2 linked regions of the Mus musculus genome follow. The protein of the gene in region 2 interacts with the protein of the main gene of each other region in a pairwise test. Links are inferred from orthologs where the notes say so. Each region holds a gene or a part of one and is shown on either strand. Other genes may lie near its edges.

Region 1 (3,652 bases), on a different chromosome or scaffold from region 2:
TCTACAGCCATGCACAGGGTTTGCTTAGGGGCTTTTTCTAAAGGGGGGCTCATGTCTACCGAGCAAGGCTGAGGAGCTAGGCAGGGCAGAGGGAAGTGAAAGCAGATGAAACGGGGAGCACACAGCATCCAGCTACCATCTCTGCCCCAGAAACAGGAAGACAGTAGCCAGGAAAGGTGGCAGATGGGAGAGAGGGATGGGTGAGGAGGTATGGAGGGAAAGTGGAAACACCAGCTCCTTGTCCTCCAATTGCTGCAGGAGGGCCCTAGCCTGCTGAGCTCAGCCTTGGCCCTGTGCTGAAATTCCAGCTGTGTATGCAGCCCAGCCCGCTCCATGCCAGTCATGTGCCAGCTCCAGGCTGGGCAGGGCAATGGGGCACATGGCAGCATATGCACCAGAATCCAGAAAGTGCAAAGGCCTAGCTGTCTGCTTGGTCCAGGAGCACAAGAGCTGTCAAAACCAGCCCCACTCAGCTTCAGCCTCTAGTTCCTAAAGGCCACAGACCCCATTGAGGAGTACCTGTGGACAAGGCTTGCTGCTTGGCACAGAGGAGCCAGGGAAGTAACCAGATTCAGACGGCCAAGCCTACATGCCTGACAACAGCCAGTGGCTGGCTTGGCAGTTTGCCTCAGGAGACCTGTAGCAAGGAAGGATGGGTGCTGGTCAGCTACCTGGCTCTGAACTCCAGCTGAGCGACTTTAGACAGCTGTGGTTCTCACCTTAAAGTGGGGCTCATATGTCCCTGCTTTATGGCTGTAGCTTTTACATGGCTCAGACTTAGGAGGTGAAATTGGAAAGGGCTAATGGTAGAGCCGGGCACACATGGAAGTTCAGCACCACGGCAGGTTCAGCGATAAGCAAATGCAGTCTTCTCAATCCCAAGGAGACCCTAGTCCCAGACGGATGGTTCTCCCTTTTGTAGCCTCACTTAGAAAGACCCTCAGCCTGGCTTCCTTCCTCACAGGCACATACACTGACTAGCAGGAGGAATGGGAAGACAGGGTGGCCATGCTGTGCCCCTCAGCCTCTTTCCTCACTGCTCGGAGGCTCCCGGCAGAGGGAGAGGCAGATCCTAAAGAGAGGCAGCTCAGTGACTGAGGGCACTGGCTGCCCTTCCAAAAGCAATCCCATGGCAACTTACAGCTGTCTGTGACTCCAGGCCCAGGGGACCCAGTGTTGTCTTCCGGCCTCCATGGGTACAGCACTCATATGGTACACAGACACATGAAGAGCAAGGAGCCAAATACCCATCCAGGACAAAGACCGTCAACTGAGGACAAAGGTTTCTGGAATTTGGGATTTTGTGAATTGGGACACATGGGGAAATAATACCTATACATACAGGCCACCTCCACTACAGCCCAAGGCTGTCTACACAAGGATACAAGCTGCCTGCTACTTAGGCGTGACCCTGTACAGGTGACTTGAGGTTCTGGGTCTGTTTCTTTAAGTAGGAAATGGCCCATTGTGCCTTAGTCACAAGATGGCCTCTGGTGCTCAGCTGAGAATAAAATGTCTGGCTTGTGGGCTCAGAGCTGTGCTCGGGCCATGGGTGCAGACTTACATGTAGAGCCAATGGGACAGAAGCCTCTGCGTAGCAGGCTCCTCCTGAAGTTAGGGCTGCTGCTGTCCATAGCCCTGCTCTCCACTTCACTGATGTGGACTATTTCTCTAGTAGTTGTTCCACTCCTTTCTGCCCTCCTAAAGGTGGCCAGTATAGACTCTCCCTTTCCATGGAACCCAGCCTTCAGTGTCCAGAGCTAGCACATCTTCACTGAGTCCTCCAGTGTCCTTGTTCTATCAAAGCTGGTCTTGGAGGCATTTCTCCTTTTGTACATATCTTTTTGCCTTTAGCCTCTTCACCCCAAATCCAGCTGTGACCTTCTGAAGGTATGAAGCAGGTCCTCAGACCCAGAGCCTCTGGCGAACTCACAGGGCTAGCTTACAGTGCTGTGGTAACCTGGCTAAGCTCACACAGCAAGCATCTAGGGCAGGCTGGCAAGCGCTCTGTGCCATGCTGTGGAGGCACTGGCCCCTGCGATTCTTATTATCTGTGCTCCCCCAGCAGGCTACAAGGGGCTGAAACTGGGGAGAGGAGGGCTTCCTCTCTGTCCTGCCCATCTCCTTTTCTCTCCCTCCCTCCCTCCCTTCAACCTGCTTCTTCTTTGTGCTCTGACCGCAGAACCCGCCCCTCACCCTGAGAGCCATCTCTGGCTGCCTTGCCCTTGCCCCATGCCCCCCTGGATCCCCAAAGGCCGCTTCATCACGCCTCAGCTCCCAGCCCCGCCTCCCGCCCAACATGTGCGGAGCCCATGGCCTCCTGCCAAAGCCTGGGGCTGCCAGCAGAGGCAGAGACAGAAATCTCACCGCTCGGTAGGTTTTCTTCTGCCCAGCGTGCTTGGGGGCTTTGCCTGGCTCTGCAGAGCTCTCCACGTGCATCGAGTAGATGATGTCAAAGAAATCTTCCACCACAGCAACGCGTTTCAGAGAGATGCCCTCGGGCTCCGACAGGCCATCTGCCCCCTGTGACAGGGTGGACAAGCTGTGTTAGTGTCAGGGTTGATGGAGGGTGAGAGCTGGGCCCAGAGGCCAGGCCACAGGTCGGGGAGGGGGGCAGGGTCTTTGCTGCTCCCCTGGCCCAGCACAGCCTCTAACAGTTCCAGTTAGGAGGTGGGGAGGAGAGGAAACCCACTGGATCTGGGGAGAGGGTACAAAAGTCAGTGTGGCTGAGGAGGCTACAAAACCTACCAGCAACAATGGGCAGAGAAACACGACAACACAAGAACAAATTAGGAAACCAAGAGGTTCCATGTTCACAATTCAGACAGATTGTGCCAGACTCCCAGAGAGCTCTCGAATCACATGCTGTGCCAAGACCATCCTAGAAGTCTCTGGGGAGGGGGAGTGCTAAATAGATGCGGCCCCATCAGGAGCTTGCCAATTAGCAGTAACCTTTCACTGTGGTCCTGGTTGGGGTCCCAGGAGACCGGCTACCATCACCTAGGTGGCTCCTGCCTTTGCCCAGGCCTTTCTAAGAAGCTTTTCATCACTGTCCTTCCCTATCCCAGCAGCTGAATGCCAGCCACAGTGCCCAGGCTCTTTGTATGGGGAGAAGCACAGAAAAACAGGCTGGAGGGCATGGAGATGTGGCAGGGCTGGAAGCCTGGTGGTCATGGGCCCCAAGCCTCTTATTAGACTGTCAGCTGGCTCAACAAGGTGTGCCAAGATGGAGGCTGAGTTCTTTGCAGCAAAGAGCTGTGGAAGGCACCAGTGCCCCATTCCCAACCCTGGTGAGGAAAGAGGCCAAAGGGAGACTCCAGGGCATGAGTTGTAGGTGGGGCCAGTAGTGCTCCATGAAAGTGTTTCCTGGTCCACAGAGATCTGGGGACACCAGTTCTCCCCTATCATACCTCATGGGCAGACTGGGAAGACTTTAGGGAGCTTCAGAGAACAAATAGTATGGGCACCCATGCCCAAAGCACAACTCCCAAGATAATCCTTCCCCAGCGGATGCAGGACAAGGACAACAGCCCCAGGGAGGTGTGGACTTCACACCTGGCACATGCTAGGTGATTGACAAACAACTGCTGCTGGGCAGGTAGTAGGTTAGCATGTCATTGAGACATGTTGGGAATGGGTGTGATGGTGCATG
Region 2 (3,652 bases):
CCCAGGGATGTTCTGAGATTCCCGCCACAGGTGACTTTCCCACATCCATAGACCTCCTGGGTCCACACAAAGTCTCTGCAAAGTTTTCTTCATTATGTTCTTCACTTACAGTGTAAGATGTTCATCTGCATTGTAGACAGCCATTGCAACACTCAGCCAGTTGCAAGGACTTTTTGCTCTAAAAAGGTGGAAATTACCATATAACAAGGATATATAAGACAGTTATTTCCTTTCCACACCTAGAGATAGGTATCCCACATGCCCTATTGCATTTTCATAATTATTTGGGTACCAGACTCCTGTCTTCTGGCTGTGCCGTTCCCTGTATATGGCTTTCTTGTAGTACAAGGTTTCTAACCAGGCTTCAGTCATCCCACCCAATTTCTAGCCAGAGGGAAGAGGGAAGGTGATTTCTGTCAGTGAGTGCTGTGTACCTGTGGGTCATGCTTTGCCTGGCCCAGGATCTGTGGCAGGATCCAATTTGCCCAGCATATCACCAAAGGGCACTGAGTGGTTGTCCAATTTGGGCTACTGTGAGTCAAGCTGCCATACCTTCAGGTATGATTGTGAGAATGCAGGTCATGTCTGCTAGGACAAAGGACCCAAGTATGGCAGCTGGCATGCTGTAAGGATGTAGAACAGTATAGAGTACCCCTGATTACTGTCCATGCCATGCCACAGGGTCAAGGTCCTTACTTAACACCATTTCCTACTGTCTGGGGGACTCTTCTACCACTGTGTTCTGTTTTTGCACCTAGCCCTCCTCTCTGAGTTCCATTAGCCTGCCTACTCCTTGCTCCTCCTCTCCTCCCATTCCCCACTCTTCTCCACAGAGCCTAAGAATCAAGACTTCTGATCTCTTCCTGCTTGCTTACTACTATGCCCTCAGTGGGAATTTTCCCTTCCAGTTTTCATGTCTTGAAGCCCTGTGTTTCAACTTTGCTACTTCACACCTACCACATGACCTTCAACATGACAATCTCAGTTTCTTTCTTGGCTGATGGCAGCCCATCCCACAGTCAGCCTGAGTCTCCCATGAGTCAGAAGCTCTATTCTACTCACAGAGCCTTACCTCCTTGTAACTGATTAAACAGAAGTGACAAGTACCCAAGGACTACAGACACACACTGGGCTCAGGCTGGAATGATTGTCCCAGTGACTCTGCAGCTACTGGGGAGCAGGGCTGTAGGTTCACTACATGCTAAATCCCATGCCTGGCAGACTTAGAAGACTGAGTAGTAGGCTATGTGAAGGTTAAGTTCAGATATGGGTTTCATTGCCCTCTGGGTCTGAGGCAACATCTGCAATGGGTCAAAAGACCCACCCTTTGAGGCCATAGTGCCACCAAGAACAAGCTCACCATTCTTCCCAGTGAAGCAAATCTCTAGGCTAACCATTCAGACCATCCATAAGAGCAGGTGCCAGGTGCCTTGAGGTTTCAACCCCCGACTGGTTCTACCCTGTCAACTCCTGAAGCTCTTTAGATTTGTTTTAAAGAACGTTTTTAAGCTGTCTTCAGTGCAAAGTCTGAATTAATTTTGATACAAGCAGAAATCATATGAACACACTCCAGGTAACAGAGGAACCCAATATATTTGAACAAACATGAATCACAGAAACTGCTCAGAGCTGCTAACCACCAACCACAAGCTCTAGACAGGCATTGTGGGTGAGGATAGCATGCCCTTTTTTCTATATGCCAGGTAGCATCCAGCATAATCACTGCCAGGTGCCCACAGTTGTATTTCCAATGAACTGGCTGTGATGCAAGTCAAGAAAATACAGAGTAAGCCCATCTCTACACATCCTGTCCAGGCCAGGCAGAGTGACAGGCCACACAAGACCAGGTGGTATTTAGACCCACTGTGGCCAGAGGCTGAGGAACATGACTACTGTTGTGTGCTGACTCAGACGACAGCGTGAGGCTGCATGGCCCATGCTCTGGAGTTCCCTACTCCCCCATAAAGCTTGGCCAACTATTAATAGGGACATATGACACTACCTTCTCATGGATCTCCTGTGTGGACTGTGCATCACAGAAGGCTACTGTGGCCACATCCTTCAGGATAGGCATCTCCACTGTGCAGTCCCGGCCATCCAGCAGCGCCACCAGGGGCCGGGGGTGCATGGGCCCGTTCATGATGGGAGGTCGGACGCCTGCAAGAGAGGAGCAGACCACTTAATGTCCTCAGCAGCACCAGTCTGTGACCAGAGAACTGTACTACCCACTCGAGTTGGAGAGGTCAGCCCTGAGAATTTGCTGCACTCAGCATCTGGTTACATGAGGCTTTGTAAAAAGCAAATTAAAACTGCAAAGAAGAAAATAGAGTTGGCTATAGCTTACTGATGACTGAGTAGATTCAGACCATCAATCCCTCAAGAGCATAGGAGCTGAAATCCTTGTAGACCCTAGGGAGGTTGTGGTAGACAGGAGGACGGGGAGGTAGGAAGCACCTCAGCCTGGCTCCCTACAGCCATAAGCTATCTTAGCAACACAGGTATGTGCAGATCACAAAATGATGGGAAGTACCTGCTTGCTCTTTGATGCCTAAAACCACCATGTGTCTTGTCTGCCCAGAACCCCACAGCGACCACAGAGTGATGTTTAGCATGTGACCTTAACTGTTATCATTCCTAGTGGTAGATTTCAAAGGCCAAAAATCAGTGCAATAGTAAAGAAAAAAAAGGGGGGGGGGGTGAGGGTAGGGGTAATGACACTCTAAGAACCCACCTCCCGGATCAAAGTAAGAAAGAACCTTAGACCTGGAGTGCCACTCAGGAGAAAAGCACTTGCCTAGTGGGTGTGAGGCCCTGGGTCTGATTCTTAGCTCCACCAAAGCCTTTGTGGATAAAAAAATCAATTTGTTCCCAACATGACACACTAAACTAGACCCCACTTGGGGCCAAATACAGGAACAAGGATTTCCCAGGTACTGTCTGGCCACCTTCAGCTGGGCAGCAGATACCTTAAGAAGGCTAAAGGTAGGTTCATGGTAGCACGTAGTATGAGGCAGGGCTTTGCCCATCCCTTCCAAAAGCTAACCAAAAGAATGGACCAAGGCACAGTGGGGAGTGGAGGACAAGAAACAAGTCACCACACAGTCTTGCACTGAGCAGGCCAGAGGGAGCCCTGCAATAGCTGCTGGCTAGCAGCAGCCTGTGCAGTCCACACTCACCTTTCTTGCCTGCAGGTACAGAGGCTAGCCCAAACTTCCAGTGCCAAGAAGTGCCTCAGAGAATCCATGTCACAGAAAGACAATGCTCTAGGGATTGCCACACCCATTTTACAGCAAGGCTCTAAGGCTCCCAGGCCTGAAAGTGGGTACCTGGGCTGTGACACAGGTCTCACTGACCACGCAGAGGATAATGGAGCTACCTTCTAGACAACACTAAGCCCAAGATCTCCAGCTGTGGGACAGAGGTGTTGCTGCACAGAGCCCTTCCCCAGAGTCAACGTGCCTGAGAAGACACAGCTATACCCATCCATGCCTTCATAAACAGTAAAAATAAAGGTGCTGAGAGAAGATGGACCCAACCCTCAAGATGGGATGTGCAAGGTCACAGGCTCAGCATTTGCATCCCCCCCTTCCTTGATCTCTAAGGACCACATCGCTATCACCAGGCAACAGAGGTGGACAAATGCAACAATCCA

The links.
Region 1: the proteins of Ctbp1 (region 2) and Nol4l interact in binary tests that used the Homo sapiens proteins (3 or more experiments, as listed by UniProt). The link is inferred for Mus musculus from reciprocal best matches to the Homo sapiens genes CTBP1 and NOL4L.

What each region holds. Positions count from the first base shown.
Region 1 is NC_000068.7:153,481,320-153,484,971, forward strand, and holds part of Nol4l (nucleolar protein 4-like), read right to left. Parts: intron 2,524-3,652; coding exon 2,368-2,523; intron 1-2,367.
Region 2 is NC_000071.6:33,264,881-33,268,532, forward strand, and holds part of Ctbp1 (C-terminal-binding protein 1), read right to left. Parts: intron 2,158-3,652; coding exon 2,003-2,157; intron 1-2,002. UniProt on the Homo sapiens protein: Corepressor targeting diverse transcription regulators such as GLIS2 or BCL6. Has dehydrogenase activity. Involved in controlling the equilibrium between tubular and stacked structures in the Golgi complex.